Oreochromis niloticus: one gene and its partners. The protein of the gene in region 1 interacts with the protein of each later gene in a biochemical or structural test. Links are inferred from orthologs where the notes say so. Each region holds a gene or a part of one and is shown on either strand. Other genes may lie near its edges.

The links.
Region 2: the proteins of ube2m (region 1) and cand1 form a complex in vitro, tested with the Homo sapiens proteins (2 studies listed by BioGRID). The link is inferred for Oreochromis niloticus from reciprocal best matches to the Homo sapiens genes UBE2M and CAND1.
Region 3: the proteins of ube2m (region 1) and smurf1 form a complex in vitro, tested with the Homo sapiens proteins (2 studies listed by BioGRID). The link is inferred for Oreochromis niloticus from reciprocal best matches to the Homo sapiens genes UBE2M and SMURF1.
Region 4: of the proteins of ube2m (region 1) and nae1, one has a biochemical effect on the other in vitro, tested with the Homo sapiens proteins (4 studies listed by BioGRID, with this or other methods). The link is inferred for Oreochromis niloticus from reciprocal best matches to the Homo sapiens genes UBE2M and NAE1.

What each region holds. Positions count from the first base shown.
Region 1 is NC_031969.2:34,663,978-34,671,430, forward strand, and holds the start of ube2m (NEDD8-conjugating enzyme Ubc12), read right to left. Parts: upstream 3,009-7,453; 5' UTR 2,839-3,008; coding exon 2,724-2,838; intron 2,718-2,723; exon of another isoform or gene 2,352-2,717; intron 2,277-2,351; exon of another isoform or gene 1,048-2,276; intron 977-1,047; coding exon 882-976; intron 560-881; coding exon 521-559; intron 1-520.
Region 2 is NC_031981.2:19,952,399-19,959,345, reverse strand, and holds the start of cand1 (cullin-associated NEDD8-dissociated protein 1), read left to right. Parts: upstream 1-3,944; 5' UTR 3,945-4,211; coding exon 4,212-4,279; intron 4,280-6,947. UniProt on the Homo sapiens protein: Key assembly factor of SCF (SKP1-CUL1-F-box protein) E3 ubiquitin ligase complexes that promotes the exchange of the substrate-recognition F-box subunit in SCF complexes, thereby playing a key role in the cellular repertoire of SCF complexes.
Region 3 is NC_031969.2:10,628,766-10,636,142, forward strand, and holds the start of smurf1 (E3 ubiquitin-protein ligase SMURF1), read right to left. Parts: upstream 3,001-7,377; 5' UTR 2,771-3,000; coding exon 2,716-2,770; intron 1-2,715. UniProt on the Homo sapiens protein: E3 ubiquitin-protein ligase that acts as a negative regulator of BMP signaling pathway. Mediates ubiquitination and degradation of SMAD1 and SMAD5, 2 receptor-regulated SMADs specific for the BMP pathway.
Region 4 is NC_031965.2:17,375,355-17,382,587, forward strand, and holds the start of nae1 (NEDD8-activating enzyme E1 regulatory subunit), read left to right. Parts: upstream 1-4,213; 5' UTR 4,214-4,320; coding exon 4,321-4,370; intron 4,371-4,791; coding exon 4,792-4,895; intron 4,896-4,983; coding exon 4,984-5,044; intron 5,045-5,131; coding exon 5,132-5,162; intron 5,163-5,273; coding exon 5,274-5,345; intron 5,346-5,880; coding exon 5,881-5,960; intron 5,961-7,007; coding exon 7,008-7,117; intron 7,118-7,233. Other genes in the region: ca7 (carbonic anhydrase 7), read right to left, coding at 1,664-1,861, 2,371-2,407. UniProt on the Homo sapiens protein: Regulatory subunit of the dimeric UBA3-NAE1 E1 enzyme. E1 activates NEDD8 by first adenylating its C-terminal glycine residue with ATP, thereafter linking this residue to the side chain of the catalytic cysteine, yielding a NEDD8-UBA3 thioester and free AMP.

The DNA of each region.
Region 1 (7,453 bases):
GCCTGCAGCCGCCACCGCAGGAAGTCTGCAGGCAGGCCAGCAGGAAGACCAGGTGGACTCGGGAGACCTGCAGGACCGTGGAACGTCACACGAGTCTGTCAGCGATTAAGAGAGGAATCCACCTGCTAGTCCTTTATGGGCTAACCTGCAGAAACCTCAGGACTTTCACTTCTTACAGCTCAACCATGAGGACATCTAAACACTGAGTGAAAGGCGGCACCTGATTTATAACACCAGAGAAAACAAGAGCCTCGTGGAGAAAATGGAAGAAAAAAGTGATTTTATCATCATTGGAAGCCAAATTTATAAATAAAGTGATGATTAACTAATGGAGCTACATTAGTGAGCCTCTTATTGATGTTCTCAGGGCGCTGTGGGCCGGACTTTACACAGGTGAGACCTGTTGGAAGACCAGTGGAGGCTGCTGAGGGTCAGACTGTTTCAGGATTATTTCAGGTTAAAGAGCTCAGAGGGAAGTGGAGACGAGGGTGGAGCAGAAAGAGAGACGGCTGTTTCTCACCTTAAAGCTGAAGACAAACTTTCCTCCTTTGTAAAAACCCTGAGACACAAAAAGACAAACAGAGGCAGACTCGTTAGCTCAGCATCATCTTCATCTCCCGATTCAGCCCCTCATCCTCACTCTGTACATCCTGAGGTTTCATACACCTGTGTGCCACATGAGTGGGAACAATCGGCTCTGGTGTAGCAGCGTCTGAAACCGGACCTGCGCTCACAGGTGGAGGTGTTTCACTGCTTTTACAGACAGCACTGCTCGTGTTACTGATGCATACCTGCATCTCTCACAGGTGTTTGTCCTCAAAGTCAGAGAGGAATAAAGTTTTTATGCAATCACGTCTCTGAATGAAAACACACACACACACCTCGTCTGGTGAAATGATGAGTCTGAAGTTGAGGAGGTCGTCATCATCGGGGAAATTGATCTCACACGTCTTTGGTAAGTTCAACTCATTGATGTCTGAAAAACAAACACAGGCAGGTGTTACTGATTCTGATTCGTCCTCGGGAATCAAAGACCTCCTTCATCTCTTCTTCTTTCACTTTTCAGAGGCTCACGAAAACATCTGGAGCTCTAAATACCTTGTCTGTATGCTAGGACCTGTGAAAAAGCAGTGCTGACACAAGAGACTCTGAACTGTCCCAAAAGACTTAAAAGTCCAGAACAACATCTGTAACACTTTCAGATAGAACTGGGACCTTCTCCAAGACCTCCTTCAGCATTTCTCCATTTCACCTTGGCATTTAATGACTTCTAAAACCTCTGGACCTCTTTAAATATTCTTAAAAATCTCCACATATTGTGTTCTTTAGGACTTCAAAAATGTCATCATCTCCAAAATCTCAATAACCTCCAGAAAAGAACACAAACCTCCTTAATCAACTTAGATGAGCATCAATGAGAAATAACGGCCTAGACCCACGAGGTAAAGAAATAAAAGGACCATTATGAAACAAATCTAATCAACTTTTATGTGTCAAAACTTTTTTGCCAATGTGGAAGAACAACTTCCAAATGTAAAAAACAAAAACATGTTCTCGCAGGTTTAGGGGGTGACTCTGAAACCACTGGATCCCTTTTTGTTGTTTAAGGCACCAAAACATCTGGACCATATTCAGAACTGCACTGATCCCGTGTGGTGGGACAGAGCGGGCCCAGGTGGTCGCTCAGGTCTCAGAGAGATGCTAAACACAGGTTGGAACCCAGAACCACGGGCCTACAGATACCCTGAGGACCCCAAATCTCTGCGACCCCATAAATCATTCATCAGGTGGGTGGAGGCAAGAAGAAGAAGAAGTAGGTGGTTGGTGTCCGGGGGCTGGGGCATCAACGCCCAGCCTTTTGGCCTGTGTCACTCCTGCTCCGATTATCCTCCAGATAAGAGACCAAAAGGTGTGAAACCACCGAAAACCGGCCAATCAGATCCATGGAAAACAGCGGGCCCATTCCAGCAGATCACTTAGAAGTTGAGAAGGGATTCAGACCTGTCCAGGTCAGATGCTGCAAAGTAGACAGACAGAGCTGATAATTTAGACAGATCCTGATAAGGTGAGCTGGACTCTGAGAATAGGGACCTGAGCCTGTTTTCCTATTGGTCACCCACACAAGGTGACTCACAAGGCGTCTGACAGGCAGGCAGGACCCTCAGAGTCCACTGTGATCCACCACACAGGTTCAGCCTGGTTCTAACCCTGCAGTCTAAGCCGGGCTCTGATCTGCGTTCACCTGTCGCCCGGCAGCCCTTCGGGTTGACCTGCACCTGAGGAGGATAGCGGGTCAGAAAGGTGGGCGCTGTGCTCAGGTGTTCCAGTGAGTCCCTGTGTTCCTACCTCACCTGCTGTTGAGTAGAAGTGGACCCCACGGAACTGACACAGCAGTTAGAGGCTAGCTGCCGTTAGCCGTCAGTGTTTACGGCTGTCCGGCGTTAGCTGTTAGCTGTTAGCTGTTAGCAGATGTGTTCCGGGTTCGTGTTGTTAGCTGCTAGCTGCTGCTAGCTGCGTGCTAACACCTTTAGCCTGCGTTTTGTTTTCATGTAGCACAGCCGGGCTAGCAGCCGTAGCTAACACCAGCTTCAGCCGCAGTTAGTCGGCCAGCCGTTAGCCCGAGTGAGCTACAGCAACACCGGGTCTGGGTTTGAGAGCCCTGGGTCCCGTGGGTTCGGTGTCGGCCCGTGGCCGGTGGGTAACTCTCGGCTAACAGAGCCTACCTTTCTGTATTCGAAGCTGGGCCGCGCTGGCTTTCTTGCCCCCGGCTCCGGTTCTGTTTCCTCCAGCAGATTCCTCGTCTTTCTTCTGCTGCTTCAGGGAAAAGAGCTTAATCATCTTCAGTTATTTGACACACGAGGCGTCCCTTCTGTGAGCCGTCAGCGGGTCTGAGAGGGTCTGAGAGCGGGGTGGTTTCCCAACAGCACCGTGATGTGAATGGAGCCGGTGCGTCTGATCACGGAGGCAGGAGGAGCTAGCAGCGGAGCTAGCAGCGAGCTGGCTAGCGGGGGGGAGGAGGGAGGGGAGGGGAGCAGAGGGTGTGTGTGTGTGTGTGTGTGTGTGTGTGTGTTGCTCTGAAGCGCATGAAAGTCCACTGGTGCCAGAAGAAAACAATCGGGAGATGGTCTGGGCGCTGCTGGAGAGAGTGAGGGGGCCACAGGCAGGTAAACCCAGCTTTAAAAACTCTGGGTTCAACAAAAGTGATGAAAAGCACCTGAACATGAGTTTGAAGGTGTTTGTGATGAACAGCTGTCTCCTCAGTGAGGGAGGAGAGCGTGCTCAGCACCTCCGGCCTCTGTGCTGCTGTTCCAGTTCAGCCCGGTGGAGATGTGGACGTGTAGGCTTCCTGTCTCAGGACAGGTGCTCCATGCAGTTACCCTCTTCCTTCTGAAGCTGTAGGGGTCGTGACCCGAAGCTGAAGCTGTTCAAGGCGGACAGGAATGGAGACGGCACGTGTCCTGAAAGCAGACAAAGTAAAAGCACTCGTTATGCAGAATCACAAGTTATGTTATTGGCTTGTGGTTGCTGATCCATGCATGTGTACATCAGTGTCATGTTGAGGCTGGAGAGCCGAACCAAGCATGCCGAGACAGACTCTGCAGGACGTTCATCTAAAAGTCAACTTCATGTCTCTGAACTGAGAATCAGCCTGAGGTGAGTCAGTGAGGCTCATGCTGGCTGTGCTCACCTTTGCTGCAGTCTGCAGAAATTCAGCCTTGCAAAAATAAAACTAGTTTTTCGTGCAGTCTGCTCGTATTAAATCAGAGTCCCATAACTGTCTGCCTGTAAGTACAGGTGGGGTTGATATGGCAGCACAGGGGAAGGTGGAATTTAAAACATTGACCTTTTGCTGACAGTTTGGATCCAGGTGGATGTGACCAAGAAAGTGCAGGTAGACTAAAAACACTGTAAATAAAAAACAGCAGTGTGATGATTCAGTGTAGTCTGCAGTTATTACAGCGAGGAGTCCCAGCATCTGTGAGTTATGCTTCCAACCCAGACTTCTACAAACTCGGGACCAAATAAACACAGTTGGGTCAGCTTCAGCAAACATCAGCATAAATCCCGTTTTTATGCCAGGAAACGTCCAGCTGGCTGTCACTCAGTCAGAACACCATCAGCAGAGCTCGTCGTCACAGACGTGAACCTTCAGGTTTGAGCTGGAGCTCAGATCACAGATCCACTTTCAACAGAGCCACTGTGCCCTCTGAGGAAATGTTTATAACCGAGTGTCTGAATCCACAGAAGAAGGTCACTCACGGGCTTCATTCTCTTTATAGAACAGTACTCCACACATCACATGACTTTGTTCATACAGCAGACAGTGACCACAGTCAAATGTAAAATTATGGCAGTAAATAATAAAAACAGAAGACATGCACTGGGAAAAAATGACACAGTAAATCAAATCTAATGTAAAGCTGGAACGAAAAATGAAACGTGTTTTATGGAATAAAATATTTATAAGACATACCGGTATTGTGAATAAACCCTGTGGTGAACACAAGAATCAGCGCTGTTGTGTTTCTTTATAAAAATAAAAATCTCGGTTTTTATGAGCTGTAAAATTATTCACCAGCATGTTTTAGTTGTTGATTGATTTCATTTTTATTGCACCAACATGTATGTGCATGTGTTTGCTGCATTTTTTAATCTTTTTTACCTTTAATTTCATTTTCTTCTGGATTCTACTGATCTCTATATTCTATTACATTTCAAATGTCTTGTGTGTGCTAAAAAACATTTTAGCTTGACGCTTTTTTGGGGGAAAGCGGGACAACCACAAGTCCCACAATGCCCTCCGCACTGTGACGTGGCACGGAGAGGCGGGGCGTGTATATCGTCTGTGCCTATATTTTATTTAGCGGTTTATTTATTTATTTATTTATTTTATTTTCCGTCTCTGTCCGAGGCTGAAGCAGCGCGCGGGCTCTGCGGTCACCTGCATGATGTCATCAATGCGGGGTTAAACGTCCCGCGAGCCACCGGCCGATTCACGACACTGAACCGAATCACGCGCAGCACCGCAGCCTCGCGCCACACAATAGAGTCGCAGAACAATAGCCGCGCGCGGCGCTGCTTTCCCAGCCTACGGCGGCGAACGGGCCTAGTTCGTGCGGAGGAGTATCACCGGGAACGCGTTGAAAGCGCCGCGCTGCGGCGGGAACGGGCCGTTGTGTGTGTTTTGGAGCCCCTCGGGAGGAAGAGCCGCGGAGCACGCGGAACGCGCTGCGGGGGGGAGAGCGAGGCGGACCGAGTGCAGAGAGAGAGGCGGACGCAGAGGGGAGTGAATGGGCACGACTGCGCCCTCCGCCTCACCGATATCCATCCGTTCTCTATCGACACAGTTAGACCACCGCGGTCCTTCAGGCAGGCCAGCCCGGAGAACCGGAGCCAGCGGCAGCCAGCGGGATGGCACGCGCATGAAGCAGCGGCGGGCGAAGAAACAAGGAAGCGGACGGCTAGCTGCGCTCAGCACGGGCTAACGTGGGCTGATTGTTGGCGGATACCGATTCTAATGAGCGACCCAGGAGCATGCGAGCTGATTCAGAGAGGTGAGCGGGGAAGGGTGCGTGAGGGTCGGGTCTGTTCACCTACACCTGTCCGGCAGCTAGCTGCGGAGCGGGGACAGCGTGAAAGAGGAAGCTGCTGGAGGGGGCGGACGGGCTGCTAGCGTGCTAGCGTGTTAGCACGCCTAACGTTAATGTTTTAGGAGAGGCTGGGGAGGGGAGGGGAGGGGAAGGGAAGGGGGGCTGCCCTCCTACGTGTGATATTAGGTAATTAACGGGGCAGACGGTATGTACAGGTGTGTGGTCGGGGCAGGTATGCCCAGGCTGGCTGTAGGTGACTGTGACGGGATAGCTGCTAGCTGTTAGCGGCTATCTCCAAACGGTGCCAGATGCGCATCTTCATTATTATTGCTGTTAGCTGCAGCCAGCCTCTGTTTCCGTCACATGTTTAATTAGAAAATCGCGTTTCAGGTGATGTTCTAATACAGGTGTTTCTGTGGGCTCGTGCTGGCCTGGAAGGAGGAAGCTGGTGAAAACGATCCTGGGATGTTAGCTAAACACAGGAAGCAGGATTGCTTCACCCTCTCCGTTTTCATGCTTTAATGTCAGGAATAGTATTCCCTTGATTACTGACAGGCACTCTGAGACTACAGCAGCCGCAAGAATACCCAGAAAATACAATAAATATTCTAAGTAACGTGAAAGAAACACACAGTGAAGGTTCAGAGCAGGCTCAGCAGCCTGTTCAACCAAAACACCTGGATTTAAAAACACCTGGATTTGGACCTGATAATTAAGCAGACCCGGTCTCTTAGTGATGTCAGTAGGTCGAGTTCCACCTAACAGGTTTAAATATTAATGTTGACTCTTTAAGCATGTGGCTGCTCTGCAGAGGGCTGCTTGCTGTTTTTGGTTCTTTTACTTTGCATCTTTTTTGGAATAACACTGTGTCCCTGTTGGATTTATGCAACTGTAAACCTGCAAAGATGCACTTTATGGCCTTACACTCTGCCCCTCAAACCCCAGGAAGTTCTTGTCTCACTGGAACAAAATAAACTGTCCGCAGGTGAGCTGCTGTGCACTCACCTTTACCTGATGGGAAAGCAGGTGCAGCAGATTTATATAAAACAGGTTTTGTCGAGTCCTTTCACTGCTCATACCGAGGCCGCTCATAATCAGCTTTGAGGGGGATTCTAGTGTCTGATTAGAGTTGTTGTGAGGAGCGTGTTCTTGGTCTCCCCGCGGTGAACTTTGAACTCTGACTCCAGAAAGTTTTATTGTTTTTACCAACGAACTGAACAGTTTGAAGTCAAGGATGAAGAGAACATAACCTGAGACTGCCAGATGTTTACGGCTTATTTGTAACACACACTCCAGTCCACAGGAAGTGACCTCGGCACAGCTGACACTGCTCCACAAATGCGTGCACCAGACCCTGAACTGATCATCGTTTACACAGAGGAAGCTTTTTGAAAGTAATTATCCGTTAGAGCAAATATGTGTTTTAATGCTCTGCAGCCACTTTTAGTGCGACTGGGTTTATACAATAAAATATCAAATTAATGTCACTGTAACAAAGTGTAAAGCTTAACAGTTGCTTTAAAAATAATAAAGGTACAGAGATCAATCGCGTCTGTCCACACAGTGAAATGTTGTTAACATCAACCACATAAGTGACGATTAATTAATCGAGCAGCGCCGTGAGGCTGCTGCGAACAGCATGTCAGCTGCATGTTGGCGTTTTGGTTTTATTCTTATAAAATGTTTTTTGTGCCACGTGAGAAAAGGAAAAAAAAACCAACAACCAATGGCTCCTTCTGGTTATCGATCAGCTGAACCTGATCAATAGTCAGTATCAGTCAGGAGGAGGAGAGGGAGGCGTGTTCATCAGGTTTAAACTGCGTTAAATTGGCTCCGTAACCTGACGGCCGCCTTCTTACAGA
Region 2 (6,947 bases), on another chromosome or scaffold:
TGGAACCCCTTTCTGGAATACTTTGTGAAAGCCAGACTGGGCTAAACTGGACACAGATTTGTAAACTCTCATCTATCCCACCTTTTGGTATTTCTGTCCTGTGGTGTTTTGTGATGTGCATGTTTATTTGAATTAACTGTTTTTTCTGTAACACATCGGAGCCAGTCTGTTTTTGTTTTTGTTTAATATTCTGAAAATCTAAAATAAAATTATCCAAAAAAAAGAAGTGGAAAGTAACCCTGCTGGTTTCACTTAGAACAGAGGTTCAATCAGAACATCTCGTACAAACTGAGAAGTCTTCTTCTTTTTCTCTTAGCTCCTTCCTTCAGGCCTCTGCACAGAGGATCATCTGCCCCCATTTACATCCTATGCAGCAGCATATATGTTCTCCTTCGCTACGTCCACTAGATCCCATCTGTTCCTCCTGTCTGGCAGCTCCATCTTTGTCCAGTATATCCATTCTCTCTCCTCTGCACGTCCAAACAGCTCAGCCTGAGCTGTCCCTCAGACATTTAAATCTATCTTCACTCCCTCTTCTCCTTGTATCGTCACCTTTCTACCTGCCTCCCTCTAAAACTCATTGTGTCTTTCTTCGCCTGCCTTTCTTTCTCTCCCACTGCCTCCTAATATGCCTATCCCTCTCCTCTTCCTTTTCTTCCTTTATCACAGTTTCCACCAGCACCTGCTGACCAACAGCATTGAGGTAGTTATTGGTAATATGGGCTCCGACTGATGCACTATGGAAATTTCATTCTCCTTGACCCATAGGTGTGTTTTAGCAAAGATTATACACTTGATGCGTCCTTCCTCATTTGTTCTACATTTTTCATGCATTTTGAACTGTCCTGTAGATTCACACAGTTAAGCAGCTCACACGGAGGTCAGCCCGTGTAATACAGCTGATTTTTTTCTTCAGATCAGGATGTACATGTTTCTGATCTGATTAAAAATGTTCTAACTGTGCTAAGCACTCAACTTCAAGGAGTTTTTCTCTTCATTTACCTTTGTGATGTCACCAAGAGCAGCTATTCCTAATATGGTCATCTCAGGCTGAGGGGGAGGGGCTAAAACAGCCTTTTTAAGACAGAAGATGAAGTGAGGGACTGCCCTGTGAATCATACATAGCTGCCCTAGCAGAATCCAAGGATAAAATACAGTCCCCATTTACTAAGAGCAATATTTAATTTCTCCTGAATTTCACACAGACGACTTTTAACATCAAATAAAATCCAGATTTACTTTTTAATGTTCATATTTACACAGTGAGACTCACTGTTTTAGTCCCTAGAGGATCTTACAGTACACCTCTGTAAACACTCATGTCCTCACAACATCAGTATTACACACACAAACACACACACACTGAATTGCATACTGAATGCATTCAAGCTACAAAAACAGCATCCTGAATATCCTGACTGCGTCTCCCGCATGTATAAAATTACTGTGTGAGTGGTGATTCATTTCTGAGCAGAGGATAATATGCTCAATATAGCTCTAAACACACACAGGCACACGCACACATACACACACACACACACACACAGTTTACAGGTCCTGTTAAAGGGTGGAGCTCTCACTGAGGCTCTGAATAAAAACACCTGCTGCAGGTGAATCACAGCATTGAACACTGCTTGTAAAACTGATGGATTCAAGAACACAGTTTAGTCTAGATGTTCTCAGCCTGCAGTTCCGCTGCAGCGACAGTGGGTAAACCTGAGGGGCCGTGAGAGGATTTCATGGAAGCGAATGTGAAGTTACATCTTAAATATATAGAGCAGAGCAGAATGACTGAAGGAGGCAACTTTTATGTCCTGATGAGGGACGTTTTTGTTTTGTTTTGTTTAAATTTCAAATATTATTCTGTTTAACTTTTATGCAGAAAGTTATAATTAGAAGATAAAAAAAATCATTTTATCTGTTGTGTCTTTTATTTCTGAAGTATGAGTTCAATGACTGAGGCTGTGTTTTAAATGATCATTTAGTATCTTTATCTTTTTTTTTTTTTTTTTTTACCTTTCCTAACGCTTCATTAAAATGGCAAAACAAATCTCATAAATGAAATAAAATTTTTTATTTCTCATCATCTACACTAAATAACTGAAAGATTCTGGAGGAATCTCTGTGCGCAATATTGGTCGCCTGTGATCTTCGGGCTGCTTTGAGGTCAGACAAAACACAATAGTCCCCAGCAGACTGTTCACAAAGCTGAGGGATCTGGGACTCAACAGCCGTCTGTGTGCATGGGTGTTGGACTTCCTCACTGGCAGAACTCAGGTGGTGAGGGTGGGTAGATGCGTCTCTAACAGCATCACTATCAACACAGGAGCACCACAGGGATGTGTCCTCTCGCCACTGCTCTACTCCCTCTACACTTCAGACTGTGTGGCCACCCACGGCTCCAACACCATTGTGAAGTTTGCTGACGACACAGTGGTGTTGGGCGCCATCTCAAGAATAAAGCTCTTCAGAGAGTGATCCGTACAGCAGAACGCTGCTGCAGGATTGCTCTCCCCCCGCTTCAGGACACCTACACCAGGAGATGCTGGATTAGAGCAGCGCAGATACTGAAGGACCCGTCCCATCCTGGCAACAAACTGTTCCAACTTCTGCAATCCGGTAGAAGGTTCCGCATCATCCGGGCAAGGACAGAGAGACTCAAGAGGAGCTTCTATTCCCAAGCCATCCGGGCCCTAACCCCCCCCCACACACACACACACACACACCCGCCCTCTCACATCATCCATAAGTGACTGAGACAGGACTCTCTTCCAGACACTCTAAACCCACCGGCGCAATGTACATTTCAAATTCCTTTAATTTTAGATATGTTCATATTGTCTATTTTGTAAAATAGTCAGATTGTCTATTCTTATTTAATTCACTTAATGTACAGAATTCACCTGCTTGCTGCATACATGCTACTACTGCACATTCACCTAATGTATATATTATATATAATGTTCTTCCTCTCCCTTTCGCACAAGTCGAGGAGCGTGTCAGGTTACATTTCACTGTGTGTTATACTTGTATAACTATACATGTGAAGAATAAAGAACCTTGAACCTTGAAATCAGACTTTTTAAATTCTTTTTGGAAAACACAGATGCTAAATAGAAGAGGGACCACCAAGCTTGTTATCAGCGCTCAGTTCAAAGCCTGCATTTCTGATGGTATGGGGGTATATTAGTGTCAATGGAATTAGCAGCTTTCACATTTGGAAATACACCATCAATGCTAAAAGGTATACACAGGTTTTAGAGCAACATCTGCTCCATGGGACAACATTCCTCTCCCAAAAGTTCCAAAAGTGTTCTCCTCAGTTCCCAGATGTTTACAGATTGGTGGACTCCTATCAACACTGGACATTATCCCTGATGACTGACTGTCACCTCCACAGTGAAATCATTAATCTTATCTCTGCAAGTCAGTTTTTTTTAAGCTGACATCTTCTTTGCCTGTTCCTCTTGCCTGGCAGCTCCATCTTCAACATCCTTTATCTAATACAGTCACTATCCCTCCTCTTCACATGTCCAAACCATCAATCAGAGAAGGTCGCACTAACATCTTGTGAACCTCCCCATTCACTCTTGCTGCTATCATTTTATTACTTTGGATGCCTCGCTGTTTTTTTTTTAAGCTGACCTCTATTTAACTATTTTTAAAACTATTTTTTTGTGTATCACTACTGAATGTTACTGTGCACGTGATAATAAAACCTCTTAATCTGATTCTTTTTGACCTCAGTCAAAAAAAGGGAATAAAAAAAAAGATAAAATGTCGAATCTATGACTTAAAGACTTTCAGTGAGTCGTTTTAATTCACACTTTGGACTCGGGGTGAGTGTTTCATGCTGATTTTCATTTTATCTGGGGTAAAATGACCTTTTATGAGGGTTTAGAAAGACAAACTGACAGAAAAATTGGTCAAACTGTGACCTTCGACCCCGCATCGTCCAGCGCCGCTAACCCCGCCCCTCTGCGGAGAGAACGGGAGCTCCATTCAAACACACCAAACTGGTCGCCCCGGGATGCGACAGTCGCTGTAGCTGAAGAGAAAGGTGGAAGAAGAGGAAGAAGAACAGAAACATACTCTCTACCCCCGAAATCATCCGAGCAGGGCGGTCACACAGCCAGCCAGAGACACCAGAGCCCGCAGCCGGAACATCCTCACCGAGCGCACTCTGCTAGTAGGAGGCTAACAGCACCAACATGGCGAGCGCCTCGTACCACATCTCCAACCTGCTGGAGAAAATGACATCCAGCGACAAGGATTTCAGGTAAAACAGCGCCCAGGTGGAGGGATCTGACCGTCCACTGTTGTTTATCGCATCGGAGTGTTTTTATTTCGCACTGAAAGCGGCGCTTTGCTGCGGCGGGCCTGCCGCTCTCAGGCTAACAGCTAGCATGCCACCTGTCTGATCATCGTCACATCCGCGGTTAGCTGCTAGCATTAGCAGCTAGCCTGCAGGCTAGCGGGCTAGCACCAACTTCTGTCAATCCGCAGGCTAGCTTAGCATGAGTGACGGCGCTCTTTGCTGTGGATTAAAATGTGAAGGTAGCCGCCCTGCTAGCGGGATTTCTCCCGGGAACCGGGCGGGTTTAATGTTAAAGTGTCGCTCCAGCTAACGGGGGTGTGGTGACGCCGGTAAACAGACGGAGAAGGTCGGAGCTTCAGCCTTGCACTCATATAGACCCTGTCAGCGTTAAAGGTGTCTTATTCTGATCCCATCTCTGTGGTTGTTTTGTTTTAAAACTCAAATCAGAGCAGCTTTGCATGAGTCACAGTTCAAAATAAGCCGGCTTTGTCTCTCACTGGGCCTCGGTACAGCCTTGCAGTTCATCCTCCCTGAAATAAGCTGTTTTAGCGCCACCAAAACAGCTTATTTCATACAGAAAATTGGCTATTTTCAGGAAGGAAATTAGACAAACGACTTGTTTCAGACAGAAGGTAGTTGTTTTTAGACAGTAAGTGGCTTGTTTCAGAAAAAAACTGCTAGTTTCAGATGGGAAACAAATAGAAACCATTTGTGTTAGACAGAAAATGCAGGTCACAGAACTTCTGGGAATCTGCTTTCTTTGATATTGTACTAAGTCAAGAGTAGAGAATGAACCACTACTGTCCTCTGAGTGATCAGCTTTTAGAAGCCTGCTGCGGAGCAGCAACCAGCACTTTAAAAGATCGTTGTAACTAGAGTGGCAGCACCCTTTGGCTACTGGACTGAGTTTTTATTGTTTTTGTTGGAGTAAGAAGAGACCATATTTAGAAACATGGAAGCTGCATCAGTACAGTGTACAGGGTCAGCATACCTGCTAATTAAAATCCAAATTAAATCTTCGATTTAGGTTCATCTTTAACCTAAACTGGGGCTCAGACTTCTTGGATAGTCTATTAGTATGATTAACCACACAACAGCCATATTATTAGTCAGATAATTTCATTAAAGATGTTCAAAAATGCACAAACACTCCAATCCAGAGGTCTAGTTCAGACAGCTAACAGAGGCCAATAATGCACACTTTAACCCTTAATTGAATTTAATGGGATTTAAACAGGTGAGTTATATTAAATATACTCTCCATACAGTCACTATGGAGAAAGAAACTAGCTGTAGAGGTTGTTTATTTCTGCTGTAAATTTGTATTCTAACATGAGAGTTAGAGGAAGTGCATTTTCTGGCGTTTCGGTGTTGTCTTAAGTTTTCAAACTTTGAGGTTTGGTGTTTGGCTAACCACGGCACTCTGATAAATCACAAGCAGTGACATAGGTTTACAAATTATCACCTGAATGCTTAAATTCATTACAAAATGCATTCACCAAAAATACCACCTTAAGAAATAAGGAGACTGATTTAACCAAGCCTTAAATTATGACACACCTGCTGCAGGAGATCACTGAAGCTTTGAAGATGTTTAATACAAACATTAGTGTGTTTTGTAAAAAGTTGTATTTTAAGGAAATAATACAGGATCTAAAATTGACCCCTGTGGTACACCACAGGTAGTGTAAGCTGAGATGATGGTGACAGAGCATGTTCTTTGTAGAAAATAAGTGTGAAGCCAACAAGGGAAACTCTTGGCCAACCTCTTCTTCCTCTTTGTCATTTTCAGGATGACATAAAAAGCAGTTGCTGCTTTTTAACTGATTACCAACTGCATTTTTTCCCACCATCATAGAGCTTTTAACCACGGAAACCACAGAAACTCAGGGCTAAAACCTACAGATATAAATGACAGTATCTGAAAAACAAAGGGAGTTCACAAAAGGCCTTCTTGCTGTTTTCTGTTGCTGTTTTTCATAATGTTTAATCGATTCATCTTCAGTATAATCAGCAGGTGAAATTGAAATGCTGCAGTCGCAGCCTGAACTGAAGCTTCAGATTAATGAGTTTATTAACAGGCAGACTGAAGTCACACAGTTTGTATTGATTATCTGCAGCTGATATCGTCTAGCAAACAGTGAAGGCAGATGAAGCGTCTGACAGGAGGTCCGTTAGCGCCAGACAAACATAAATATGCAATGATTTATTTATGTTGGAGTGTTAAAAAATGAGCTTATAAACTGATTTGACAGGAAGAAGAACGTCATCAGGCCCTGCTCCAGGAGTTTGTTAATCCTGAGCTCGGGGAAACTGGGTTTTCTGGTTCACAGTTAACTTAAACTCTCTGCCAGTTACCATGGTAACAGACTCTGTGAACTAAAACTGTTCTCTGGCTCCTCCCTTCTTACTGCATCTGAACCAGCTGACTCAGTTTCATTTCCTCATTCATGAAGTCACCGCCAAAGATTGGAACGAATCCATCTACAGACAATTTTACAAACACTGAAATCCCAGTTTAGGTGTTAGGTGTGTTTTATACTTTACGTGAGCGCTTTTAAGGTCAGTCACTCGTCAATATATGAGGGCAGATTCTGCGATTACATCACTGATTTATAATCAAGCTCAG
Region 3 (7,377 bases), about 24 Mb from region 1:
AAGTTGTGGAGTTGTAAAGTATTTTGTCTAGTATCAATTATATCGTCAGTTATATCGTTATCGCAAATTTTCAAATGTATATCGTGATAAATATTTTTGGTCATATCGCCCTGCTCTACGTGTTGCGTCCACTAACTTTATCCTACTGAATGACTGATTCTTTAATTCCTTTCATGGCATTTTCCACAATAAAACGCCATTCACTTACAAACAAAAACACCCTTTTCTCCACTATTTTTGACCTACTTATGTTCTGCATCTTGCCTTGACCGTATTTTTGCATTCAAATGTTATGTTTCACACGCTCAAAAACCAGAGATAAACAAAAACAGCTAGCTGTAGTGTGTTTTTAAAAAAAAAAAATATTACTACAGTTGCAAGTTTTTGGTATCAAAACTCACAAAATAAGCATATGATCAAACATATGGTGCTTTTTTCAAAATATTTAACACTGTGTACGACATAAATAATTTGGTTACATTGGTTTCAATACAGAAGCTACTTCTGACTGTTCCCTTCTCACAAGCAGTGGATGCACTAGGTTGATTTGGTAGAGTTTTATGCCAGATGCCCAACATAATGCAACCCCAGGGATTCATGTGTCTCTGGCTGGAATTCAACCAGTATCCTTTTGCTTCCTAAACTAATGTCTATACCGCATTACACAAGTTTCAAAATAATGAAAAGGAAAAAAAAACTAAACTAAGTATTTGACTTCCTTTGTTCTTCCATGTTATTCAAAGCAATACCTAAGCTTAAGAAAAAGATAACGAAGACAGGAAGACACAATAATCACTTGTAAACACAACAAAGTCTCTCAGATCTGACCCAGTGTCAAACATGCTTATGTCCCTATTGCACAAACACACGTGCATGCTTTTCAGATATACTGATGTTGAGAGGGGGGGGGGACAACCAACTCTTTCTGGCAGACTAAACAGAGCTGGCCAGCCTGGCAGCATTGCACTCCCATTGGCTCATTGCACATTCCTTACCCAATTAGAATTCCACTCATACCTGTGGAGGCGGGGCACAGTCAGGGGCAATAACCTCTGGTTGCATACAAGTTGAAAAATGGTTGACTAGTATACACACACATACCTTCTTTGCTTGCTTTCGTCTTAACTCATCTGATGAAACACTTTATGATAACATACTTCCTGTAGAGCTTATTTTACCAGAGTCGCTTACAGTAAACTTTACCATAAGAGGACACGATCTATTATAATCCCAGATGACTGCAGTGTTTTAACTGATTTTGACTAAAATGATTTGTTATCAGTTAATCTACCAATCTTAGTAGTATATAAAATACCCGCTTACAGTAGATACAATGATATAATCTATTTTGATCACTGATGTCACTCTTGAATGTCAAGAGTGACATCAGTGTCACTCTTGAATGTTAAGAGTGACATCAGTCCTTTGTTATTATTTCAAACAAAAGAAGTGGTGAACTGTTCTTTTGCAGATCTACGTGGCTAAGTGAGACTCGGTGATAACGTCAAGCGCAGATAACCTCAAACTGAAATGTATAAACAGTGGGATAAGTGACGAAGTGTGCTGGATCTGTTAGTCTGATTCCCGTCCTTATTTCTTGAAATCCACTCTTAGAGGAATAGTCAGTAAGTAAACAGCATGTGGGGAGCATTTTCAGCCAGCACTTCACCTCATCAGTGCTGACAGGCATTTGCTTTAAAAGACATCCATCACAATCATACCTTTGCAGTACACTGCTGCAATGCTCCATGAAAACCACACAAAGAAATATTTAGTCTGACGGAAAGCAAATTTTAGTGTGTGTTATTGCTCATTTTTGACTCAGAGGGACAAGGCGTCTGCTCAGTGGCTCAGATGGGTCATTTCCATTTGAATAGAGGCCCCTGGATGCCCAGTGGGGTTACATTATCAACAGTAGGAACCTTTGTTCCAGCTGTGACTGTATGTGGAGCGGAGGAGGAAACTTCTATATGACCTACAGGGCAGACTCCGACCCACAAACTGAAAAATAAAATAAAAAATATTTCAATTCGGTTGAATTAATGACCCCTGAAGAACAAACATGCTGCACTTCCTTCAGTGGGGACAAGTTCAACGAGTCCGACATTTGTGCAGCTACAGCTGACACAGCAGCGAAATGCCAATCGATACTCATTGGTAATCCGGACTAGGATGTCAAATCTAGCGGGAGATCAATTTTCATACAGGCTGCCGCTCGACATTTGCTCTCCCCCCCGCGTTACAGAGCTCGCCGCATTCGGCTGAAGCGGAGGTTTCGGCTGGTGGTCAGCACCCCCAAAAAAGGGTGTAGCTAGCAAGCGCTAGCGGTCAACATTAACCACAATGTTACTATTAGCTAGCAGGCTAAGAAGCCACTGTTAGTGGTTGATAAAGTTTTTGAACGTGGCTTTCAAGCGTCGGCATTCACCAAGACCAGTGGACTAGTCGCCTGTCTCAGCTGCAAAACTCACAGGACAGTGAACAGCTCCTTGGCTGTCCTCTCGGTAATTTACTTAGCATCTAAGCTAACGAGCTAGCACTCGACTGGTGTTTGCCACACAAAAACCGGATGTTTGGGCGAACAGCAGACTCGAGAGGCTCAAAGACACTTCGCGTCGTCTCGTTAGGTTTGCTAAAATCAACACGTTACCGAGCAAACACTGAGTTCCGGTTTAAACGTGCACAGTAAGCTCTTTCTTTCGCTCTCGCTTTTACCTGTCAGTCGGATTTTGATGCTGGACCCGTTCCTCCGACTCCCAGGATTCGACATCACTCCGGGAAAAACGATCACACAAACTTCCCGTTCGAGCCAGCCAATATCACAGTTTCACCAAGTAATGGAACTGCGAATAACTTCAGTTTCCACACATGCGGTTTGCTTTTGGTTTCCTCACGGATAAAAATGTATTATTTCACCGCAAAGTCTTGCGCTCCTTCGAAATCCGACAACACGGGAGAACATTTTCGGGCAGGCTCAAGCACGTACTGACGTATTGTTCTCAGTGTCTGTACAGTACGTGCTCGCTCCGGGAAGCGTGGGCGTGCCCGTGGTGATCAGATTCTTTCAAGTCTTTAGACATTCTGTTTTGGTTTTTACTTCAGTAATTAGGGCCCGGGCACTAAAAGTACGAAGACCCTATTGGAATTGCTCCGTTTATTATTATTCAGACAAAACAAGTGGCTTTTTGAGGGCTTTAACATATTCAAAAAAATAGAGAAAAAATAAAGAAATATTGCACACGTTTCAGGTCTGGTAAAAAAATTTTTTGGTATTTTAATAGTTTCGCATATGGGCGGTGCAAAATGGCTCTAGAGCGCCACCTATGCGTTGTTAAATAAAGTGCTATGACCATATAGTTTGAGCTACATGAATGAAATTTGGCTCACACGTGTAACATGCCAAGACGAAGAAAAAAATAATTGGGCCCATCAACGCAAACCCAACAGGAGGTCCACCATTTTGAATTGAATGTGAGATTTTGGCGCCGATTTTGCCATTTCCAGGCGTTATACTTTTGCGAACGCCTAGGGATTTGATCAGATCAGCTTCATATTTGGTCAGTGTCAACTACACACCTGGGCCATTTAATTTACAGCAGCATTCATTTTGTTAAAAAAATACAAAAATAGAACAACACACAGAACGGGCCAACATTTAGCTAAAAATCGTTTAACAACAATTATTGAGTTCAACAAAACTCAATAATTTTGCTGAAACGATACTGCTAGGTGGTTTGTTAGCTAAGCTGTCTCACCTTGTTCAGGGATATTAGCTTCAAGGGGTGGTGTAAAAAGCATTTTTTTTGCTTTTTTAAAAGTGACAGCTATGGATTAAACAGGATTACTAAACACAATTTTCACATAGTTTTCTTTTTCGTGTTCAACACGTCAAGCAAGCTAACACCAAGTGTGTTAGCAAACAAACTCATAGTCGATCGATATGGTCTGTGTGTGCCAGGCCAGCAGCCAAAGCAGTTAAGGTAAGAAGATGCTTCTGTTTAGAAATATATGACCAAAAGAGGGTATCTTAAGGTGTGAGACACCCCCTGCTACAGGGGAACGTCACTTACATTGTTGTTAAAAAGCATTTGCTCCCTTCTGGATTTTATGGACTCCAGTGAACCACAGTGAGAGCCATTAACCAGAATTGGAAAAGAACTTGTAACAGTGGTGAACCTTACCAGGAGTGGCTGGCCTACCAACATTCAGTGCATCGACGACTCATCCAGGAGGTCACAACTGAACCCAGAACAACATTAACGAACTGCAGGCCTCACTCGCCTCAGTCAGAGTTCATGATTAAACAATAAGAAAGAGACTGGGCATAAATGGCATCCATGGAAGTGTTCCAATGAGAAAACCACTGCTGACCACAAAGAACAAAAAGCCTTGTCTCACATCCGCCACAGCACATCTTGATGATCCCCAAAACTTTGGGAAAACATTCAAAAGTTTCAGAAGGGTTAAACAGTCCAAAATGCCTCCACAGAAATGTGCCACCACTGTAAAATGTATGATATGGGCGATAAATATAGCCACTATTTGCAGTTTTCACACAAACATTTTCGCACCATTGTACCACAGTCAAGTGTTGCATTATTTGCAGGTTTACACCATAAATTTAGAGAGTCGTTACGTGATGGTCCAAGGGGTCCCAGCAATTGGGGTTATAACTTAGTTGATTCAGCTGTGTGCCCTCTATGGAGCTGTAGAGGAGTACCGGCCCCTGGACGAGTATCCTGCCGAAGAGTTCACAGAGGTCTACTTTGTAAAGTTCCTTCCGTTCATTATGCCTAACTGGCAAAGTCTGAAGAACCTTCGGAATAATTTGGTTTTGTTTCGGCTCAGCAAAGCAACACATGGATGAGAAAAGTTTCTATGGTGGTGTGCTGCATGTGTGCTAAGTCCGTATAATTTTATATCTATAGGTTAGATTTTGTCTCTCAAAATCCACCACTCCAATGAACAACAACTTAGTTCCACCTTAGTCCAAGCAAACCCAAGTTAAGATAATCACACACACACAACTAGTCACTTTACATCTTTTCATTGTTTCTTTGTACATTTTCACAATCATTTTTAAATGATGTGGATTTTTGCACTCGAGTTCTGAAGAATACTTATTTTCAGCTGTATTTTTTTTCATCTGTTAAGACTTTTTTGTGTCTCATTTTATTATTGCAAAGTGAGAGAAAAGGAACAGAAAGAGGACAGAAAAAACTACCATGTCAGCCAAACACAGGAATTTTTTTTTAGGCAGATAAGTTACATATGTGAAGGTGTGAGAGTGAGCTTAAGTAAAAAAAGTATGATTGAGGAGTTACATTTAATTTTTTCATCCAAGGTCCCTTGAAGAAAAACAGACAGTCCCTCAATCCACTCTTCCATGCCGACAACGCCGTCTTTGTCTTATGTAGTGAAGACTGAATGACAGACAGTTACACTCACAACATGTCTTGGATTTAATTTTAGATTTTAATTGTTCGTACTGAAGAAATTGTTGAATTGTTGTTGATAATTTGGAGATTTAGTTTACTTGCCACCATTTTATTGACATTTTACTATTTCAAAAACAATATTAGCTCTGTTTGTGTCATGTGGAGGACCAAAGACCAAAGAAAAACACAGGGCTTAAGTACACGAGTACCATAGACGATACGATCATAGTCAGGAGCACGCCAGGGCTTCCAGCGGAGCTCCTCCAGCTGGCCAAAGGCTGCCTCCCGACGCTCATACAGCTCACGGTCTGCTAGGTCCATGTTCTGGATGCGATCTTCTGTCATGTGGAGGCTGTGTGCAGACACACGGAGTAAAAAGGTGAACTGAAATGCAACTTTACCTTCAAACTAAAACAGGAAACATAACACAGAAACGCGGACTTGACGAGGGGATACAGCAGACAGGGGAGAAAAAGCAACTAAGGAACACAGATCAGAAACTAGAAGGCAGAACTCAAAGTACAATACAAAACTCAAAACTCTGGGTCGACGACTCACGTCTCCTAATAGTTTGAATTTGATGGCACCAACATATCTCAAGACAGCTGAGAAGGCAACAGTAGGGTGCAAAAGTAAGTGGTACTAAAAAAGAAACAGAGAAACATTTTGCAACTTTAGGTTAATTGGCAGTAGGTCACTAACAAAAGTCAACATAGGGTTTTACCAACAGAGGATGACTGGATACATGACTGGATATATATTGAAAAAAAACCAAAACAGCATCGTTGAGAAACGGAGTTCCTCAGAAGTAAAGATGGGTCGAGGTTTGCCAATCTACAAAAAAAAATTGCATCTACAGTTTATGCAAATTCAAAATGATCATTGCATGCTGCCTTTATTTACATTTCACACAACGTCACACCTTTTTTGGAACTTGGGTTGTAAATAAATAAATAAATATAAATAACTGTAAACTGAATACCTCTACCCGTGATCCTGTCATCAGTCAGCCCAAAGATCCTGTGCAGCATGCTTAGGAAGGTCCCTCTGTCCAGACCGTGCACTGCTCTTCCAGAGTTGTTACACTCCGCCATAAGCATGTTAAAGTCTCAGATAAGGCACTCTGTAAAAAATGACTCGAAAAAACATGTTTTTGTAAGGTTTTGAGCTAAATGTGGAAAAATGTTGCCATTAATTTCAGCATGATTCAGTTTACAAACGTCGCCCCATAATGAAGAGCACTAAACTACCTATAACAAAGTTAGCCTAGTTTAGCCCGGGCTTATTGACGTGAGAAGTTTAACCGTCATACTCACAGTGCTCCACTTGTTTTGAGATGTTTTCAGCAAGCGTCTGATTTCCACATACTTTTTGCGATCTCCTCCAGACATCTCACATATAATAAGGCTCCGCCCCTGAAGATGTGCTATATTTGACATCAGCAACAGCGCCACCTAGTGGGAATGGGAAATGTCATGTTTTACACTTTGGGGTACAGTATAGAGGTGGGTGGCCCCAGCAACCTCACAATTGTCCAGTAAAAGCCTTAAGGAGTTGGTCTTGGGTTACACTGAAAACTGTGAGTTTTCGTCAAACCCCGGCGGATTAGCGAAATTCGATGTTTCGCCATGAAGAACAAAATTGCTATAACTAAAAGAAATTCAGTCCGATCGCTAACAAAGTTCACAGGCATGATAACACTCCCACCCAGAACAGATTGCTATGCCCATTGTCAGGAATAGTCAGAGCGCCACCTATTGGGAACAGGAAATGTCATGTCTTATACTTTGGTGCACTGCTCCTCAAAGGTTGAGCCCATCCACCGTGAAAGCAGTGGACATTGGTGGAACTTGGAAAGAAAAGCATCTGGAGTTGGATTAACATCTGTCCCTCATCGTGCTTCAGTGTTAAAATTGTGAGTTTATTGACTGGCGCACCC
Region 4 (7,233 bases), on another chromosome or scaffold:
ACTTAGTTCAACTCTTGCTAACCTTCTCTATACTGCTCCATAGTGCCTTAAAATGACTTGTTGCATGCATAAATAAAATAAAAGTGAATCTGAATATCTGCGAGGGGATTAGAAAATGTCATTTCATGAGAACACATCACAGAGTATCCTTTGTGTAGCTTTACATGAATGTCTGACATCATTAGTCAACACCCAGGAGGTTTCAAATCATCGAATTTCACAGTCAAAGCTGATATAGAAGCAAAGTCACCTATGTCACCTATCACATCTATCAGACCTCTGTGGCACCAGCTTAAGCTTCAGATGCAAATTGCCAGTCCCATGCAAAATCAAGATTAGGATATTTTTAACTTATTTTTCAGATTCAACAAGGGTGAATAATAACTTTAATCTATGTCACAATGAGAATAGGAGACCCTGCAGACTGCTTTAAGTGCCTGTGGTATGCATTGCTGGATGTGGACTGGATGTGGACTTCTTCACTGTTATTATGATTGTTATTCATTGTGATGCTGCTGACATCGTTGTGACAAAAAGGATCAGATGATTCAAGGTCACATTAGCAGTGTATGAGTGGCACAAAATGTGAAAGAATGATCAACAATATTATAATATTGTTAATAATATGTAGATAACATTTTACACTACCTACATTGCAGTGATACATATTTATAAATGAATAATGTGCCGAGTCAGGTAGTTAAAGATAGCAATGTTGTTGTAAATCCTGACCTTCGTAACACTACTGTTAACATCTGTCTGTGGAAAGAAGAACATAAACCACCTGCAGTTGTGACTAGTCTTAAATCATGTTAGCTATTGTAATTCTATTTTATTAGTACAACTCTGAATAATTTAACAGTGTGCACCTGTCTCAATATAACTGCTTTGGTATTCCCAAAAAGTTGATTCTGTTCATCTGGATGTGGCATTTTCAGAGGGACAAATGTTTTGTCACTCATCCAAGTGACTTCTGAATAAGATGTGTAATGGCAAACAAACAACGGGTTTAGAGGATTTGTGCAGAACATTTGAAATACAGTGAAATGATGCTCAGGTTGTAGTGGATGTCAGGGGTTTTTTTTGCAGGTGTTTTATTTCATCATTATTATCAGTATTTCAGCAAAGAGCCATTTACTTGTTTTGTGTTAACCGTCAGAGCAAAACAGCGCACTTTTCCGAGCTCATCATTCATGCTAATGTCAGGGTGGTTAACACAGATCCACCCAGTGATAAAGACAAATATTGTCATCATAACCACTGAGATCATCCAACATTATTATATTTCTTGTCCAGCAGACAGACAGTCATGCAGTTAAGTGCTGCTTGCGCTTTCCTGCAGCATAATAAGAGGCTTATTTGCAAACTGTGATAATAATCAGTTTTACACGTGGTTTTTGCTTTCGAGAAATCAAGGGAAGGATTACTGGAAGTAAACTTTTAGCACAGATTTCCCCCTCATGTAACTGGCAGCAGATGTCAGACTGAAGATCAAGTTTGTCTTCAGCGGCTATTATAGTTACACGGCAGTTGTATAAAATTCTAAAATAGATATGGGCATGTTTGTAACACACATAAAATCCCTGCCACTACAACAGGTAAAAGTGGAATGAGAATATTGTTTGATTTAAATTCACTTCAAACAAAAGTACAATTTTCTCACCTGAACGATCATCTGAGTCATTGAACTCCACAACTACGGAGTGTCCATTGTTGGAGATGTTAATGGAGGTGCAGTGGTCGTAGTTTATCATTAAAGGGCCCAGATCGCGGTCACGTGAAGCCTCATTGGGGACAATATCAATTGGTGATTGCCGGTTCCCCTCTGCAACGGGGTAGTTTTTATACCATGAAGAAGGACCTATAGGAGAAACAAATGTAATCAAAAACAGACACATTTACAACACACACAATTCTGCAATCACAATGATCTGCACCAGATCTGTTAGTGTGTCACCTAACAACAAACCTGCAACTAAACTAATGAAGCTTTCTCCCCCGCGGCCACAACTAAAGGCTGGTGGCACCACCTAACCTTGGTCCTAAACAGGTATGAGGAATTCAGATAGACTGCCTCATTAACATTAAGGCACAGTAGCACAGCACAGAATAAGTTTGTTTAAGAACATTGGACAGAGCAAAAATAAAAATATTACACTCTCTGTAACTCAGGGAAAATTCAACTGGACTGTCAGACTGAGGTGAAACCGTTTATCCCTTTAAGCGTGGGGCTAATCTGGATTTAAATGCCGTCTTTAACGTCTGAGTAAAACACGAAGCACCGCAAACAGGCCGTTTATTCCAGTTAAATTGCTAATTGCCTCCACGCAGGAAAACAGTGCCTGGAGCTTGCATGTTGGAACATCTCACCGTCCTCCTTCCCGTATCCCCAGTGATGTCCCGTCATTGTCCCTGTCTGCAGGTTCCAGTCGGACCAAGCGGCACTTCGTTGCGCACGTGAAGGACAGGTAGGGACATCAGCGGGTACAACAAGTTTACGGGGAAAGGGGAAGGGCAAGTATACCTCTCTTTGTCACGCCCACAAGTGTGCGCGAGCGCACGGTCATTGCACGCTAAATACACACCTCGTTGAATAAAAGAAAAATTAGCAAAATCAAGAATGTGATCTACTAAAATCTAAAAACATTCTGTTGCTTTGGTGAATAGTTTAAATAGTTTATTATACAGTTTATTCTAGTTTAAATTATACTGCGCATGTATAAATGCCATTCTATACAGTTGCACTGCCTGAGACTTTTTAAACATGTCACTAGTCCTCATCCAAAATATAAGCCAGTTTATTTACAGCAGTTTTTGGTGCCCTTTGAGAAATCTTCCTCGCACTGCTTCCATGATATAGACATGCCAAATCAGTATTATTTAGTTTGTGCAATATTTTTTTTGTTAATTGCTGCTGCTGGTAGGTTTGGGATCTTTATTAAATTAAAAAAATAATAATTGTCAAATTCTTAATTAGATGTAATATTATTCATCCGAAACCTTGGCCCCGTAGGAGTTTAATGTCACATTTGAGCATTTTACTAACATACAGATGTACTGTAGTCCCCCTTTTTTTCTTTATGTATTTCTTTCTGCTTCAACTCTATACTCTAAGCTATATAATATATTTTGTAATACTCTATTATATAATAGAGTACTTTGTACTCCATACCATTTATTTTATTTTATTTTTTTTACCATTTATTTTAAAGCTTTAGTTACTTTTTGAAAAAAATTGTTAAAGATCCCAGGAAGACCCAAGTAATTACAATCATAAACACCTGCAATGGTCCAGTGATATAATGTGTATGATTCTTACAGAAGCCATTTTACATGACTATGATTACTTTAGGTATTGAAAATATATTTTGGTTTTACACAGGTTGCACTAATAATAAGTTTACTTAAGTTAAAAAACTAAAAGACTATTTAACTGTGCAAATAATTGTGTTTAAACTCCTCTGTAGCATTACTTTTCTGGTAGTAAAACTGTAACTGTTTTTTGTGAGTAACATCATCTCTAAACCATACTTCACAGCAAGTCTCACTGCCATGTTGTAAACCTTCATTTTCACTCTTTCTGCTATCCCACTGTCATAAATCACCCTAACACTCGTCTCCAGCCACTCCACCCAGCCTGCGCTCTCTTCTTCACCTCTCTTGTGCACTTGTTTGGTGCCTTGGTTGACCCCGGGTATTTAAATTCTGGGTATTTAAACTCATGTAACTTCACTACTCCTTGCATGTGCAAAGTCTCCCTCTCGTTCACACCCACATGTATTCTGTCTTGCTTCTACTGAGTTTAATTCCTCTTCTCTCCACAGCATACCTCTACCTCTCCAGGCTCTCATCCACCATCTCCCTGCTCTCACCACAGATCACAGTGTCATCTGAAAACAGCATAGTCCACAGAGACTCCTGCCTGACCTCATCTGTCAACCTGCTCATCACCATAACAAACAAAAAGGGCTTCAGAGGTGTAATGTGTCATCTGTCACTACTACATCTAAACAGACAAATAAATTAAAATCCCTAAAAACTACCCGAAATCAAATGAAAAAAAAAATACAGAAAATAGTGAGAAGAAAAAGATAAAAGACGGTCTGCTGAATATGCACAACATAAATATACAAATATAAAAGTGAATAAAATTCTGATTTGGAATCAATAAATATGTTATTTCTAACACAATATTAATTATAAAGCTGTTGATCTGTGTCGAAAGTGCAAGAGCGGATTTTCGAGCGGGCACTTTCGTGTCGAATCTGGCGCTGAGGAAGTCAATTTACGTCCATTAACGTCACTCAACACAGAGCTATCATGGCATCCACCAAAGCCTCGAAAGAGCAAAAATACGACCGACAGCTCAGGTTAGTTTAAACAGCAGCGTAGTTTTCACAAAGAAATAACATCCCTCTAGCTAAACGTGTGAGAGGTCACAGCAGCAACGCTGTTGGGGCAAGAGTGCTGAAGCTAGCTAGCGTTAGCTTGCTATGAGAGTTGCAGTTGAAATAAGCACCGGCGAGCTAATGCATTAGTTAGCCGTAAGAGTGATGTGACTGATGTGATGTTATGCTCTTTGTTTCTGTGTGGGCTCAGGTGTCACCCTGTTTTAACGTATTTATGAACAGCTCTTGATGGTTTAACAGGTGTAATAATACAGGGCTGTCGATGAGGGTGAATCTTTCTTACCAGCAGCCGAGTCATTCTGGGGAAAGTAGCTCACTGTGTTTGTTAGCAAGTGAGGATAAATGGCAAATGGCAACAAATGTTCGTGTTGTGTGCTTTCAGGCTGTGGGGTGACCACGGCCAGGAAACACTGGAAAATGCACACGTGTGTCTCATCAACGCCACGGCGACGGGAACGGAGATACTGAAGAACCTCGTACTTCCAGGTGAACACCTTTTCCTCTGTGTTAGTGACCGTGCTGCAGGTGATGGTGAAAACATCTGTCTGACTGAATGAATTGTTCTGTGTGTCAGGTATTGGAGCATTCACCATAGTAGATGGGCACACAGTCACAGGTGAAGATGCTGGAAACAAGTAAGTGGTTATGTTTAGCTTAAAATATTTTTATTCTATCAGTTTTACTCGCCTGGTTGCAGCTGACCTCTTAATCTCCTTTTGCAGCTTTTTCCTCAGCAAAGACAGCATTGGAAAGGTATGCGTTGCTGGGAGTTTCCATTTTCTCCCAACAGCTCTGTTGTCCTCTTGTTGAAGTACGCAGTGTATTTCCATATTTGTTTGAGTTCTTATCGTACTTTTTGTGCAGAACAGAGCACAGGCTGCCACTGAACATCTGCAAGAGCTGAACAGTGATGTCTCTGGAAACTTTGTCGAGGAGGTTGGTGTTGCTTCCCTTCCAAGGCAGTCTTGGCTGTTTGTAATCATGTGTATCATCTGTAGAGTAATCACATGGCAGCATGATTACACACACAAAAAAACCTACCAAAATCACTTATCACTATGGCTGTATCCAGCTATTTTTATTTAAATGTGTTGCACAGCTATTTTATTTTCAGCTAAAGATCATGAAATCTTAACAAGATTTAGCAACTTGTTTCAAATAATTTACCAAGAGGTCAATATCTGAAGAGTAGTTAAGTGTATGATGAAATTATTTGACAACATGCAGGTATTAACCACATTAACTTTTCCAGCTGTTTTCAAAACCTTAATAATGTTTGAGTAGAAATTTAAAACATCCACAGTGTTTGTGATGTTGAAATGAAGAAGATCTTTCTGCACCATGACACCAAGACAAATCCCACAAACTTGACAATAAACCCAACTCTGATTCAGATGAATGGAACGTATGGTTTGTGAATTTATGACTTTTGCCACTCTGAAGCCACTTGTAATTTCTGTCACTCCTGCAGGGTCCAGATAAGCTTTTGGACAACGATTCAGAATTTTTCCACAGGTTTACCATAGTCATTGGTGTCCAGCTACCAGAAAGGTATGAGATCATCTTAATCCTTGCATTCATTTACAGTGCTGTGCTAAAATCTTGAGACACCTGTCATTTCTTTATACTGTGCTAGGAAAATAGAAAATTGGTGCAGTGTTTTGAAACAGTGTACAAACATACATGGAAATGCAGCGTATAAGGAAAAAACAGTTTGTGCTATTCTAACAAGCTTGAAAGTCAACATTTGGTATGACCACCTTTATTCTTCAACACAGCCTGAACTTTCTTAAGTAAGCTTTCTTGTCATTTCTTTAAGTAGTCTTGAGGAATAGTTCTCCAGGCTTCTTGAAGCACATTCAAAAATCTTTCATGATGATGAAGAGCTTTGAATGATGAAGATGATCCCACACTGCTTCAATAATGAGGTCGGGGCTCGGGGAAAGCCAGTCCCCAACTGATAATGTTTCATTGTGTGTTTTGCTTTTACTACAGTTCGAAGTGTGTTTGGGATCATTGTCACGCTGAAATATGAAGAACGGAAGCTGATGCCAATTTTCCCCTATTTCTTAAGGATAAGACTTTCAGATACTGTTTATCTGCTGTCACAGTCACTTCTTGTCCTCTTCCACCTGGACACATTCGGCACTTTTCAAGGACTCTTAGGCTCTTTTGAAGTGACTTTGCTGGTTCAAAAAAAATTTTTATGTTGGTCAAACTGTGTTCTCTTCGGCATTTCTCATAGGTCCAACTACAATGATTTGGAAATTGTTTAAAAAAGATACAAGAAAGTCTGACTCCTTGGAAGTAAAATGATTCAAGCCTTTTCCACTGTACTGTAATACTGTAACAAAGAGCTGATGAAGAAAACTACGGCAGTCCATGAGTCATTTATTCTTAGAGAACGTTCATACATATCTATTGCAAGATTTTCCAATCAAATTAAACATACTTCATTGTCGGGCTGCTTTTAATATATACTTTTTTTCTTTTATGTAAAATGTTAACTCTTATTGCAGAAAGTTTCAGGACTGACTTAATTTTCTTGCTGGTCTTATTTTCTGTCCAAATATCTTCACATCTCTTCAAATCCAACAGCACGTGTTTGAGGCTCGGCTCAGTTCTTTGGAGTGCCTCTGTACCTTTCCTAGTCTGTAAGACCTACGGCCTCATTGGCTACATGAGACTGGTGGTGCAGGAGCATACAGGTAAGTCGCTCTTAGCAGCAGTTTTCTTCTTTAAATCCTTTTTATAGTCTTGGCATTCTTCAGTTTGTATGTCTAACCTGATAAGTTCACTTTTCAGTGAACTTGGTACGAACATA